2 linked regions of the Elephas maximus indicus genome follow. The protein of the gene in region 2 interacts with the protein of the main gene of each other region in a pairwise test. Links are inferred from orthologs where the notes say so. Each region holds a gene or a part of one and is shown on either strand. Other genes may lie near its edges.

The links. The genes of interacting proteins can lie anywhere in the genome.
Region 1: the proteins of TSC22D4 (region 2) and NRBP1 interact in binary tests that used the Homo sapiens proteins (3 or more experiments, as listed by UniProt). The link is inferred for Elephas maximus indicus from reciprocal best matches to the Homo sapiens genes TSC22D4 and NRBP1.

The regions. Positions count from the first base shown.
Region 1 is NC_064830.1:45,926,747-45,934,054, forward strand, and holds the start of NRBP1 (nuclear receptor-binding protein), read left to right. Parts: upstream 1-4,221; 5' UTR 4,222-4,338; intron 4,339-6,951; exon of another isoform or gene 6,952-6,956; 5' UTR 6,957-6,976; coding exon 6,977-7,186; intron 7,187-7,308. UniProt on the Homo sapiens protein: Required for embryonic development. Plays a role in intestinal epithelial cell fate and proliferation, thereby involved in the architectural development of the intestine potentially via the regulation of Wnt-responsive genes.
Region 2 is NC_064830.1:91,887,617-91,895,164, reverse strand, and holds the start of TSC22D4 (TSC22 domain family protein 4), read left to right. Parts: upstream 1-4,548; 5' UTR 4,549-5,216; intron 5,217-5,689; 5' UTR 5,690-5,951; coding exon 5,952-6,713; intron 6,714-7,548.

The sequences.
Region 1 (7,308 bases), about 46 Mb from region 2:
CAAAATCCCTAAATTTCTGTTTATCTGGAAATGTCCTCATTTCACCTTCATATTTGAGAGACAATTTTGTTGGATATATAATTGTTGGCTGGCAGTTTTTTTCCTTCAAAACTTTATATAAGTCGTCCCATTGCCTTCTCGCCTGCATGGTTTCTGCCGAGTAGTCCGAGCTTATTCTTATTGACTGTCCTTTTGCAGGTGACTTTTCGCTTATCCCTAGCTGCTCTTAAAATTCTCTATCTTTGGTTTTGGCAAATTTGATTTTAATGTCTTGGTGACTTTCTTTTAAAATCTACATTATGTGGAGTTCGATGAGCATCTTGGATAGATATCTTCTCATCTTTCACGATATCAGGGAAGTTTTCTGCCAACAAATCTTCAACAACTCTCTCTGATTTTCTGTTATCCCTCCCTGTTCTGGTACTCCAATCACTTGTAGGTTATTTCTCTTGATAGAGTCCCACATTATTCTTATGTTTTTTTCATTTTTTAAAATTCTTTTATCTGATTTTCCTTCAAGTATATTGGTGCCAAGTCCTTTACCTTCAAGGTCCCCAATTCTGCCTTCTGCTTGCTTGATTCTGCTCCTCTGCCTTTCTATCGAGTTGTCTAATTTTGTAATTTTATTGTTAATCTTCTGAATTTCCAATTGGTGTCTCTCTATGGATTCTTGCAGTTTATTAAATTTTTCATTATGTTCTTGAAGAACCTTTTTAATTTCTTCAACTGTTTTATCTGTGTGTTCCTTGGCTTGTTCTGTGTATTGCCTGATCTCCTTCCTTATGTCTTGAATAGTTCCGTATATTAATCTTTTGAATTCTGCATCTGGTAATTCCAGGAAGGCATCTTTATCCAGAAGATCCTTTGATTCTCTGTTTTGAGAGCTTGTTGACGTGATCATGGTGTGTTTCTTTATGTGGTTTGATATTGACTGTTGTCTCCAAGCCATCTATAAGTTATTGTTTTAGTTTATTTTATGTTTGCTTACTGTATCCTAGTTTCTTGCTTTGTTTTGTTTTGTTATGCCCAAATGGCTTGCTTGAGTGAGCTAGCTTGACTGTTTTCGCCTTTGGACCTCTGACATCCTGTCACCAGATGGCTAGAGCTGTTATCAGGTATATGAGATTATGAGTCCATTCACTTTTCTTGTGTGAATTCAGCTCAGGTGTCCAGGTAGCTGGTCATCAAGTGTGTGGTACAGGCTCTGTCCTATAGTCTTAGAGGGGCAGGGGTGTTCGGTGTAGGTACCAGTATCTGGTTGCAGCAGGGGGTCATGCTCTGAACAAGGCAGGGGGCTGAGAAGTGTCCCGAGTGTCTCTGAGGAGAGCATGTCCCTCTTCCCTAGAGCGTGCAGGTGGGTGGGTTCTGCAGATGGACCATGGGCACCCAATGCTTTTGGTTGTAAGGACTAGGAGGTACCAGTTATCCATGGACCCCTGTCATGGGTGGCTGGGTGACTTGAGAGGAGCCACCAGTCCTTAGGCCCCTGATGTTTGTAGGTGAGGACCCTGTTTAATAGGCAAAGCCATGTCAAATAACAAACATCCACCTCTCCACTGCACAGGTTAAACAGTCACAATCTGCCAGTAAGGGCCTATTCTTCTGGAATAGGCCCACACAGGTCCATCCAGGGGGGAAAGGTATTCAATGTCCACAGACCATTTATGCTTGGACATGAGCTGCTTCTGTCCTGAGCTCCCCAGGTTAGTGGAGCTGGCAAATTATCTTTTCCCCCTGTTGTGAATTTATTCCTTCTCCAAGTCCAGGAGCATGGCTCAGGGCGTTCAAATGGGCCTATCTCAGGCCCAGGGAAATCAACAGCCACTGAAGCCAGCTTGGGGGTGGGGGGTGCTGTAAAATATACGCAAGTACTTAGATTTTGCCGAGAGCACCATTTTTCTCTGGTTCCAGAGGTGTGAGTAGGCTGTGCGGCTGGCTATTTCTCCCTGAGGAAACTGCGGCAGAACACTACAACCAGCCCGCCACAGCCACTTCCAGGAATGGTGCCTGAGGGATCTCAGACATTCAGGTCCGGCAACTCCTGTCTGCTTCTGAATGGTCTCACTCTCCACCTGCCACTTGGTCCATTTTCTAACCTTGCCTTTGATGTTCAGGGCTCCTAGCTTGTCATAATTGTTTCACTTGATTTTTCGGGTCTTTGTTGTAAGATGGAACGCAGGAAGCATCTGGCTATTCCGCCATCTTCTATCTGAGCATGTTAAATGTGAATGAAAGTTTAAAAATAAGATGAAAGCATGAGTATGCCAAAGGGTCCTCTGTGCATATTGGAAAGAAGAAGGTAGTTCAAAGGGAAAGGTTGATAATTCTAAGGTCCCAGATGGAAGAGAATGGGAAACTATAATGATTACATCAACTGACATTTAATAAATACCTACCATGGGCCAGGCATTTCAATTGTGTTAGAACCCACAGGGAGAAGAAGTTAAGCTGGGAAGAGGTAGGTACATCTTTTCCTTTGAGATTAGAACAAAGATTCTTAATCTCAACTCCCTGAAATTATATGCTAAACTTAGTGGGCAAGTGCATTAAAAAAAAAAAAAAAAAAATCCAAAAGGCAGCCCATATCTTTCATCAGATTTCTAAAAAGTGTGTTTGAGCCCTCTCTTTCAAAGATAAAAGAATTAAGGAAGGGTGAAAGATTGGTTTTAGAAATAAATACTTTGAGGTGAAGAGATAAGAAAATGAGATGGCTTCTGCAAGTTATCCCTTTCAAGGCCTAATTATTTTCTGCTTTGAATTTTAAATGGAATGCATGCTGAATCATTGAGTGTGTCTGAATTTTTCAGCAGTATGAATTTTTTATTGCCTCACCCCACCAATCCTACCCTCAGTGTCCAGAGGGACATATGTGTTCCAAATAATTTTTTAAAATCAAAATCCATCTTTTACCTACCAAAAGTATTGATTCAGCACTTCATACAATACCCTGTAAAAGGAGTAATTTGTGGCACACACTCATTTCTTCCATTTCAAGCAATTATATAGGTCCTCACCTTGCAGCAGCACACACTGCGAGAAAAGTTTCCCAAGAAACCTCAGAGGCAGACTATGTAAGTGAGCAATATATTTCCCACAGGTTGGGAAAGGATTATCCTCTCGATGAAGTAGGATTGTTGTTAGGTGCCATCGAGTCAATAACGACTCATAGTGACCCCATGTGACAGATTGGAACTACCCCTTTTGGTTTTGATCTTGACGGAAACAGATTGCCAGAGCCAGGCGTTTCTCCTACTAGCCGCTAGGTAAAGATGACCAGGTGTTTCTCCTTTGGAACCACTGGGCGGGTTCCAACTGCCAACCTTTTAGTTAGCAGGCTAGTGCTTAACTATTTGAGCCACCAGGGCTCCTCTGAAGTAGGATTAGATTCTCTTTAGGACAGTGAAATTTGGTGATTATGACATTCCCAAATTCTGGTGATTGGCTTATCTTCTCCCCTCCGGTGTATATGTCTAATGGCAAATTGAACTTCCATCCTTTAGGCTCTGCATATACTTTTCTGGGATCAATGGGTTCACCCAAAATCCATTTTTTACACCTCACCCAATCTAAGTTCTCCAAATATCTTCTCAATGAGGTCTTCTTCGGTGAATCTTATTTCAGATTCTGGTTTTGGCTGTCATCAACCTAACTTTGGATAGTTTAGTGCCTTTTATTCAGTTTTTATTTTTGTATTTGTCGACTATCAATGATAAAATTTCAATGAGTTCTTCTGAAAATCATCAAATAACATTTATGAAATGCTCTTGCAAAGTTTTGGCAAATAACAGTACTATGCAATCACAAAGCGTAGTGATTTTTTTTTTTTTCCTAAAGCTTTCTGAGGAATTGGTGTCCTGGCCACTGCCTCATCCCTAAATAAAGTGGGTGGACGCTCCTCTCAGACTTTCGCTCCTTTTGTCTTTTGGTCGGATTAGAACTGTCATGGCGCCTTCAAGAAGACAGGGGAGATCTTTGTCTAGCAGAATCACCGGGGGTTCCTGGACTGGGTACAGGGGTGGACAGAGAAGAGGTCCCCAGGTGGAATGGAAAAGGCCGAACTCCCCGAGCGGCCCCCGCCAGACCGGCTCAAGGGGAAGAGGCCCGGTTGAAGACTCCCTCCCACTGACCCTCTAAACTGGGCACCGCCCACTCAGCCGTCTTGTCCAATGGAAACCTAAGGCAGTGCGGCACCGCCCATCTGTTGGTCAGGACGCCGCGAGGGCGGGGCCCGTAGTTCGGTTGCGCTGTGGAGCGCAGCTGTGAGGGAGTCTCTCTGATCCGGGGCCCCGGAACCCGAGCTGGAGCTGAAGCGCAGGCTGCGGGGAGCGGTGTCCGGAGGTGAGCGCAGAAGGGAACGAGGGAATCGGGTGGGAGGTCGGCAAGGGGACGAAAGGATCGGCTTCCGAGCCCCAGGGCGTTGGACCCCGGCAGGCGGGTGCCTGAAGGCGGCCTTGCTCACTCGGAAGCCCGGGCCGGCCCGCCTGAGCCCGGGGGCCGCCTCTGCCCCACAGTCCCTGCCTGGCCCTCCTCAACCTCCTCGGAGTGGAGGCGGCCCGGAATTCCGCCCGCGCGGGTCGGGAGGGCCCTGACGTTCGCTTCGAACTCTGGCTGACGAGGGCGGGGCCGACGGGCGGGGGCGGGGCGGGCGGGCGGTGCGGGCCCGGCGGCCTGCGGAAGCGCTGCGGCCGGCGCGCTGGCTGCGCGGGGGCGTGGCCTCCGCCCTGACGGCGCCGCCCGCCAGCCCGCTGGCCTTTGATGAGGTGGCCGCAGCGCACTTTGGGGCCTGCGGGCCGCGCTGTTCCAGACACCGGGCAGGGCGACCTGTTGGAATGCGAAATTCGGAGGGCCTCTTCTTCTCTAGAGCTTGCTTTATTTCTGACTGGACAGTTTTGCGGGTCTCGGACCTTTTTGGTCAGCTCAGGAGAGGCCCGGGCCTGCGAGCTGTTGCTGAGGAGTTGAAACACAGAGGGGCGACAGTTCAGTAAATGAAAGTCTCTGAGAAAAACTTAGCGGGACGACCTACACTGCTCAGAAGTGAACATACTGTGCATCTTGAGGTGACTGGAGGCAGCGAGGAGATTCCCCTATGGGCGTAAATTCAACAGACATTCATTCGAGTGCCTGTCACAGGCCAAACACTAACAAAAAAACAAACCCGTTGCAGTTGAGTGGATTCCGACTCTTAGTGACCCTGGAGAACCAAGTAGAGCTGCCCCATAGGGTTTCCAAGGAGCGGTTGGTGGATTCGAACTGCCAACCTTTTGGTTAGCAGCCAAGCTCTTAACCGCTACTGGGAAAAGACTGGGGAGGGAAGGGACAAGCACATTTTAAGGGCATCTCTTTGATGAAAGCTCCTCTTCTCTTGTGGTGCCCTACTGTCGATTAGTAGTTGTTTGTGCCCTGGTGGGTTTGAAGCGTGGACTCTTGGTTAGCGGCCCAGCACTTTAACCACTGCGACACCTGGGCTCCTGAATTCCACTGATATTTCCTATTATAATCTAGCTGGAAATTTTTCTTAGCTGTTCCACATACCAGATGCATTCATTGATTATAGTTGCTCTAGAAATTAACCGATACAAACTTTCTTATCCATTTTCTTAGCTACTTTTCATGGGAAGAAGGAGAATGATCTCTGGTAGATTATTAAGGCGTGGTTTCGCGGCTTGGCTGAGTGAAATCTCTTTGGGAAGCCAGGACTTAGAAAATAACATGGAGAAAGAGTATCTTACCAGATTTTCTCTGTACTGCCTTGTTGCTTCTTGGTGTTTACTAGAATTTCATCTAATAGAAATTTCTGGACTTGGGTTGAATATAGTGTGAGTTGGGGGTATGGGTGGGCAGAAGTGGGCATCACAGAGTTCTAAAAAAGAAATGTGGACTTTTCAAAATATTGGTGTTGCTTGGAGGCTCCTGGCATTCTGAACTAAGAGGAGCAAATTTACTTTTCAGAATATCAGTTTTATACTAAAGAGCATTGCCTTGACCCAGCACACACAGGTTCCAACTCCTTCACAGCCTTTGTTCTTAGAGATAGGGAATAACATTCAGTGACTGTCTTTTGACTTTCTGGAAGTTAGTGACATTTCGCTTTTAAGGATTCTTTTTCTTAGAATTCTTTTCTAAGAGTTCTTTTTCTCAGCCATGTTCTGAGAAATTTTATACTATACAGTACTTTCTTTTACAAAGGCTGTATCTTAAGTTATTTGTCAGATTCAATGCCCCAAAGCATGGAAACTTAGGAATGTTTAAGCCATGTGAATGAAATGGAAACTGGAAACAAAGTCTTAGAACTGCTTTGAATTTGTGACTACATGCGTTCGGGGGATCTCATTTATTTTGTTCACTATTATATCTCAAGCAGATAGCCCAGTGCTTGGCCCATGATAAGTGCTTAATAAACATTTGTTGCATGAATGAATGAAAAAAAAATGTTGCTAACCAGTACTCATTAGCCACACTCACATTTTTAAGGTCATTAGGGGTGAGGTCACTAACCTCTGCCAGTCACTTGGACCAAGGATAGCCTCACCATGGATTGGTAGGCTTGTTCTGTGTCTAGGAGGATGGATAGTGAATGCCAAGTTTAGTTCTAGCTGGGTAAATCAACTAAGAGTTTCAGCTGGATAAAGTCAGCCTAAGTGTTAGATCAGTAGAACATTTTAGAGTTCACACTCATCTGTTCTGAACTTGGGTGCTCTGAAAGGAAAGGCTATTGGATGAATATTTTTGCTGTTTACTTGGATCTTACTAGGTGGGGTTATACTTCCTCCTCTTCTCTAGACTAGTCTTAGGAGAATAGTTAATGTTTGAATATTCAAGCAGCATTAATTCTCATTTTGGAAACAAAGGAGGTTTTTTTTTTTAATTTTCTTTCAAATAAGGTTATTAGGATTATTTTTATAGATCTGTCTTGATACCTTCTACCTTCCCCTTCCCTCCTTGCCCAACCAGTGCAGGACTGAGTGTTCCTTCCAGCATGTCGGAGGGGGAGTCCCAGACGGTACTCAGCAGTGGCTCAGATGCAAAGGTAGAATCCTCATCCTCAGCTCCTGGCCTGACGTCAGTGTCACCTCCCGTGACCTCCACAACTTCAGCTGCCTCCCCAGAGGAGGAAGAAGAAAGTGAAGATGAGTCTGAGATCTTGGAAGAGTCACCTTGTGGTCGCTGGCAGAAGAGGCGAGAAGAGGTAAGGCGGTGGTAACGGCACTCTTGGGAGAATGAATTCTAAGGTGAGAACTAGAGGGGCAAAAGTCTCAAAGGGGCAGACCAAACTTCAACAGGCTGGGGGCTAAGAAAAGATGATCAAAT
Region 2 (7,548 bases):
GGCGCGGGAGCTGGCTCGCTTGGGCTGGGTCTCCTCCCGCTGCAGCCTCCCAGGCGCCGGGACCTTGTTTCTTCGCCTAGGCTCAAAGTCTTCCACCCGTCCTCCCATGCAATCCAAGTCATCCACCCCATAACCTTTGACTCTGCCGGCGCCCTCCGCCAGGACCTGAGCGCACCAGGGTCCGAATCCTGACTTCGACCACCGCGGCCATGGCCCAGGTGCGGTGGCGGCGGCCACTGAGGATCGCGACTTCGGCCCCCTCCCTTTCAGTCACCTTTCTCGTCAGCTCCCTGAGAAATTGCTTCCTCGGAAAGCCCTTTGGCGCAGGGCTCTTAGGGTAAATTAACTGCAAGAAGACGGGTTTTTGCATTAACTGGCTATGTGACCTTGGGCAAATCGAGCAACCTTTCTGAGGTGTCTTATCTGCTGCCTAAGTTAATAGAATTTGAGATGAGAGGGTGGTCATTAGAATAATAGCTGCAAAAGGGCTTCACACAAAAGGGCTTCACACTTTAGGGGCTATTATAAATGCCCCCAGGAGAGGTAACACATTAAAGTGTTATTAGTCGTTTCCCATTTACACTTTAGTGTGAATGAATTTATATTTATTTATTCAACAAACTTCTCAGCAGAGACCTACTGTGTCCTAGGGTCTGTAGAAATGGAGTGGAGTCCAAGAAACTGACTGCCTGAGGGGTGGGAAAGGGTTGATGCCCAGAGCCAGAGAGTCCAAAGATTAAAAAAATAATAATAAGTTTTAAATAATTCGTGGAGTGTCAGTGATGAAGAAAGGAGGGCCGAGGGCAGAGCAGGCAGGGTTGTGTTTTGAGTGTTGCCAGATCGGGGAGAGGTGGGGACTTGGGGGGGGGGGCATATGGAAGGCTGCTTCCAGGACTTCACACTTGGGAGGCCTCATGACCAGGCTTAGGATTGTAGGCGTTGTTATCATGGCTAAAGGAAGAGAGGCAGGGGTCCAGATGCATTTTAATCAACAAAGAATAAATATATAAAGGAGGGTGGTATTTTATTTTTTGCTCAACCCTAAAGAGTGGTTAAGGAGCCCTGGTGGCACAGTAGTTAAAGTAATTGACTGCTAACCAAAAAGGTCGATGGTTCGAAACCACCAGGTGCTCGGTGGGAGAAAGATGTGGCAGTGTGCTTTCCACAGAGATTTACAGCTTGGAAACCCTATGGGGTCACTATGAGTCAGAATCAACTCCAAGCTTGGCAGTGGGTTCTTTGGTTTGAAAGAGTGGTTAGAAATTTCCATGAGATGAAGCCGAGGGAGGAGGGATGTGGGAAAGAGAGGGATGGTGGGAAGAGCCCTGAACTGGGAGTCAGAAAGCCCAGTGCTAGTCTTAGTTATAAAATACTAGCTCCGGGACCTTGGGCAAATGACCCAGTGTTTCTGAGCCTCAGTTTCCTTAGCAGAAACACTGGAGCTCAAAAGCCACCCTTTTTCCTCCCAGGGCTGTTTTGAAAATCCAGTGAGATACTTATGCAAAGTAGACAAATGTGAGGAATTTTTAATGTACTTGAGACCAGTTCCCTTTGATGGAAATGAATTAGAATCCATTTTCTTTTGAACCTGGGAGTGAAGGTAGACCTAGCCGTTAGAAACTGCTTTTGTTAAAATAATCCCTTTCAGAATGTTAGTTGGGGGTGGTTTAAAAAAAAAAAAAAAACAGAGAAGATGACAGTTGGAGGTTTATTTCTTCATGCCAAGCACATAGTAGGTCCTTAGTAAGTGTGTATGGATTCTCCTTCATAATACTAATGGATGGGGTAGGAGAGTGTATACATTGTCTATTTGCATTGCACATGCAGACAGGTTGTGCCTCAAAATTCCAGGCAGCTGTAAGACTGCTAGGAATGAGACACATAGAACCACTGGCATCAACCATTCTTTGGGTGCTGTGTTTATCTGTGATCAAGCCAGACCCACAAGACATTTAAATCCATTGCTGTGGAATTGATTCCAACTCATAGCAACCCTATAGGACAGAGTAAAACTGCCCCAGAGGGTTTCCAACTGCTATCCTTTTGGTTGGCAACTGAGCTCTTAACCATTGCACCATCAGGGCTCCATTGTTTCCAGAATGCAAACGAAAACAACAGAATCTCCAAGGGGAAATGCTTGCCCTTCCCCAAATTACCCATATCCATTTTTTTATTCTTATGTCGCTGGGCAGGCGCTCTGTGGTTCAAGTCAGACGCTGTTTTTACATCCACCACCACACTGCCCTGCCGGAGGCTTCTGCTCTGCTGCTGGGCCTTACCTCTCTGGTGGGAAGACCCCTGCACAGGATCTCCCAAGCCTCTGCCACTGGGCCCTTCTTCTTCTTCTTTTTTTTAATGATTTTTATTGTGCTTTAAGTGAAAGTTTACAAATCAAGTCAGTCTCACATAAAAACTTACATGCACCTTGCTACATACTCCCAATTACTCTCCCCCTCATGAGACAAAAAAAAAAAAAAAAATTTTTTTTTTTTTTTAATGAGACAGCCTGCTCTCTCCCTCCACTCTCTCTTTTCATGTCTATTTCGCCAGCTTCTAACCCCCTCCACCCTCTCATCTCCCCTCCAGGCAGGAGATGCCAACATAGTCTCAAGTGTCCACCTGATCCAAGAAGCTCACTCCTCACCAGCATCCCTCTCCAACCCATTGTCCAGTCCAATCCACGTCTGAAGAGTTGGCTTCAGGAATGGTTCCTGTCCTGGGCCAACAGAAGCTCTGGGGGCCATGACCACTGGGGTCCTTCCAGTCTCATACCATTAAGTCTGGTCTTTTTATGAGAATTGGGGTCAGCATCCCACTGCTTTCCTGCTCCCTCAGGGGTACTCTGTTGTGTTCCCTGTCAGGGCAGTCATCAGTTGTAGCCAGGCACCATCTAGTTCTTCTGGTCTCAGGATGATGTAGTCTCTGGTTCATGTGGCGCTTTCTGTCTCTTGGGCTCGCAATTACCTGTGTCCTTGATGTTCTTCATTCTCCTTTGATCCAGGTGGCTTGAGACCAATTGATGCTTCTTAGATGGCTGCTTGCTAGCGTTTAAGACCCCAGATGGCCATTGGGCCCTTCTAAGTCTCTGCCACTGGCTCTCACCATACCACCCAGGCTTGCACTGTCTGAGGGCCTGTGTGGCTCCTGCCACACTGCTCAAGGGGGGTGGGAAGTGTGTGTAGCCCTTGTACAGGGCATACTCAGGCCTCTCTTGCCCTGCACAAGTAAGCTTTACAGTTCTTCTGGCTCCCCGGACAGGCGTCCTGCTCAAAGGTGCTCAGCTATTGCTCAGTGGGCCAGCAAGCCTACTGCCTGTCTCTCACTGTCTTCAGTGTTACAGTTCTTTCTTCTGGGTCTAGGAGGTTCTTGGTGCAAGGACCCTGGGTCCTTGGTTCAAAGGATGTACTGTGCTCCAGATTCTTCTTGAACCTCTGTGGGATTGACCCTTATATAAGCCTAAACCAGAAACCAAATCCACTGCCATCCAGTGGATTCCAAATCATAGCAACCCTACAGGACAGAGAAGAACTGCCCCATAGTGTTTCCAAGGCTGTAAACCTTCACAGAAGCAGACTACCACATTTTTCTCCCATGGAGTAGCTGGTGGCTTCAAACCTCTGACCTATCAGTTAGTAGCCAACAGCTGCCAGGGCTCTCTTTATATGAGCCTATGTCAATTTCAACAAATGACCCTCCCATCAGGACCACAAGCTGCCAATCACCTCAGTAGACCATAAATCATTGAGTTTGCATAGTTCTAGCCAATCGTTCTGTGGGATTTACAAAACCGTGCCCTTAGAAAGGCCATATAAAAGCCATTCTTTACACCTCAGAGAGGTAGGAAGGATTAGCGGTAGGGGAGGGAGTCTATGCTTCTGACCAGCCAGGGATGCATCTGTGTGGGTGACTGTGTGTATAAACACGTGTGTCCAGCAATTGGAGAGAAAGTGCAAGTCAGCACCTGCATCTGTGTGTCTGTGCATGTTTTTATATTTGGGGGCTAGCCGAGGACACACCTGAGTATGTGGTGTCCCTGCTCTACCACTGACAGCCTTTTTGAACCTCCTGGGTCTTAATTTCCACATCTAAGAAGGGCGATATATGATGTCTGGCATTTGATTTTAGATACTCGAGCCAAATACAACAAAAGATATTGGTGGGTAGACACGAAACAAAATTAGCTGTGAGTTGATAATTGCTTAAACTAGAATGATGGGAGCTCATTATACTGTTCTCTACTTTTGTACATGTTTGCAATTTTCCTTAATATACTTTTTAAAACAAGGGGGGGCGGGGATTAATAGTACCTTCCTCATACAGTTACTGTGAAGACCAAAAAAGTTACAACTAGTAACAGCTACAGCAGCATCATAAGTTTTACTAGGCACTTATGAGTTTTTTTTTTTTTTATGGGGTACCAGGCACCCAATACAGTGCCTGGTGTATTCCTTCCGACTCTTATGTGTGTCTGTAGGCCAATGCCCGCACTTGCCTACAAGTAGGGGAATCCCTCGCCTCCCTGCAAACTCCTCCCCTTTCTCTCCGCCCTCCACAGCCCCTCCCTCCGAGGAAGAGCTGGGCTCGGGCCCAGCAGGTGTGGGGTTAAGGGAGCCTGTTTGGGGCCCCAAGATCAGCAGCAGCAACTGCAACAGCCGTGGCGGCTGTGGCAGGCCTGGCCCCCGGCCAAGTGGCCGGGAGCCCCAGGAAGGAGGGAAGAAGGGAGGGGGAAGAGGGAAAGGAGGCGGAGGAGAGAAGCAGTCAGCAGGCCCGAGGAGGCAGGACTTCCTGGTGTGGGGGTTGTCAACAGCCCAGAAGGGGAAAGACAGAGACCAAGAGCGAGAGGAGCTGAGGAGCAGAGACAGAACCAGCGTTGCCACGCGGGAGGAGACTTGGGACAGCCATTCGCCAAGACCACCGACGCCAGCTGCCCCAGGGGGAGGCTTTCCATTTGGAAGAGCGGCGGGCGAGCCGCCCCCTCCCAAATTGGTTGGGAGACGCCTGGGGCTTCAGAGGCCGAGCCTAGGCTCCATCCTAGAGGTTCCTTGCTTTTCTGGAGAGCAAACTTTCCCCGGAGATGCCTTGTGGGGTGAGGTGCGGCCCCCGAAGAGGACTGGGCAGCCTGTGATCGCCGCCTGCTCTCGGCGCTGTGGGGGCCGGAGGCACCAGGGGAAGGACAGCCTGACACCTTAGCCAGGACCCCCAGCTCGGCCTGAGAGGTAGGACTCTGGGCTGGGCGGGGCGCTGGGGCGGGGGTAGGGGTGGGGGGCAGGGCATGCTTGGCGGCCCCAGCCCCCTGGATGTGGGAGCTGGTATGGGGTCTTGAGGCCAGGCCGAGGAGCTGCTTCACCTCTGTTCACCTGGGCCACGGAGCCCTTGCCTTAGGGACTTTCGGGCCCTGTGAATTGTAATCCAAGGCAAGAAGTGCCAAACTTTGGGGCATGTCTGCCTCTTCCTGCTCCGTGCGCCCTCTGGGATCGCAGCCTTCCGCGCTCTGATCTCTGCCATCTCTGCCAGACTCTTTGTCTCTGGGTCTCTGGTGGTTTCCCCTTCCTCCCCACCCCCCCGCCCCACATCATGCTCCCCAGAGAGGAAGCCCCAGAGGTGGCCTGCCCACTGCTTTCTCTCTCTCACACACAATATAGGCACATACACTCCCTCACTCACTCTCTCTCTCTCTCTCTCTTTCCAGTTTGCAAACTCAGCTGTGGAGTTCGATAGCGACAGCAGCAGGAAAAACCTGCCCTTTCCACCCCCCCTTCCCTACCCTGTTCTCCCTTCACCAACCAGGCACCCCCAGCTCCCCAAGACCCTCCTGCCATGTCGGACCCAGATGTCCCCAGGGGCTCTGATGTCCCCGCCATGTGGCCTCCCTGTTCCAGGGGCGCCTGAGCCTCTGCGAGGAGCCCCAGCCGCCCCCGCCCACCTCGGCCTAGTCCTGAGTCCCAGGGACTATGAGTGGGGGCAAGAAGAAGAGTAGTTTCCAAATCACCAGCGTCACCACGGACTATGAGGGCCCAGGGAGCCCGGGGGGTGCAGACTCCCCTACCCCACCGGCCCCCACCAGGCCCCCACTCCGGCTGCCCAACGGGGAGCCCAACCCTGAGCCAGGGGGCAAGGGCACCCCCCGGAACGGCTCCCCACCGCCTGGGGCCCCCGCTTCCCGTTTCCGGGTGGTAAAGCTGCCCCAGGGTCTGGGAGAGCCTTATCGCCGAGGTCGGTGGACGTGTGTGGATGTTTACGATAGAGACCTGGAGCCCCCTAACTTCGGCCGCCTACTGGAGGGAATTCGAGGGGCCTCGGGGGGCACTGGAGGCAGGTCATTGGATTCCAGGTTGGAGGTGGCCAGCTTGGGCCTGGGCACCCCCACCCCACAGCCAGGCCTGTCTCAGGGCCCCACCTCCTGGCTCCGCCCGCCCCCCACCTCACCCGGACCTCAGGCCCGCTCCTTAACCAGAGGGCTGGGCCAGATGGCGGTAACCGGCAAGGCAATGGTGGAAACATCCCCCCTGTCGGCCTCCCCGCCCCAGCAGCGCCCCCCAGAGCCTGGGACCCGGGATAGCGAGGGCACATCCCGGGCCCCCACCCCCCTGCCCTCCCTGAGGGTGGAAGTGGAGCCTAGGAATTCAGCAGCGGGGACTCCTCCACTGTCCCGAAGGAATGATGGAGCCCTGCAGCTGAGGATGGAGTTGGTGGCTCCAGAGGAGACAGGGCAGGTAAGAGCAGGTCCCAGGGTGAAGGAGACACCTGGGGGGCAGTGCTCATCCATCTCAGTCTTGGCCTAACTTCCATCCTGGGCCTCCTGCCTCCACCTCCATACTGCCTTCCGTCCTCACTCCATTATCCTCTATCTGCTCAGTAGCCTCTCCTTTCTCTTCCTGCCACCTCACTTTGAGGTCCATTCCTACTCCTTACCGCACTTTGTTTTCTCTCAGGTTCCCCCTCCACTGTGTTCTGCATTTTCTATCCCTTTGGTTTTAATTTGTTGCCTTTGTCCCTCATCTCTGTGGTCCAGTTCTAGCCTCTCCACCTCTCTGTGGCTTCCTCACTTTGGCCTTCACCTTATCTTGGTCTCACTCCTTCCCCCCAACTCCAGGAGTTGAGGGTGGAGGCCCCAGTAGGGCTGGGCAGTTGGGCCTCTGAGGAAGGAGCTTCCAGGGTTTTGGGGGATAGGAGCAAAAAGTAAGCATTCCACTGTAAGCCGTTTTCTCCATGGCAGCCCCATTCTGCATGTGGGGTCTTCTGTCTTCTCCACTAGCCCCCATCTGAGCCCCATTTTCATCTATGAATAAAGTCAAGTTTCTCTTCCTGAAGAATTGGGTTCGGGGGCACATTATAGGAATAGGGGGCTTGCTAGTTTCCCTTCTCCACCCCCAGTTCCGTAGGTCTCTCCAGGGGGTGGCCACCATTGAGTGCTACCTTCCTTGGGAGAAGGTGGAAAGCAGCTGAGAAAGAGTTAAGTCATCTGCTCTTTCTGCTTCCGGTCTCCAAAAGAGGAACAAACCAGGGGGAGGCCAGGATGCCTGGGTCCCTGGGGGGGGGGCAACTAGG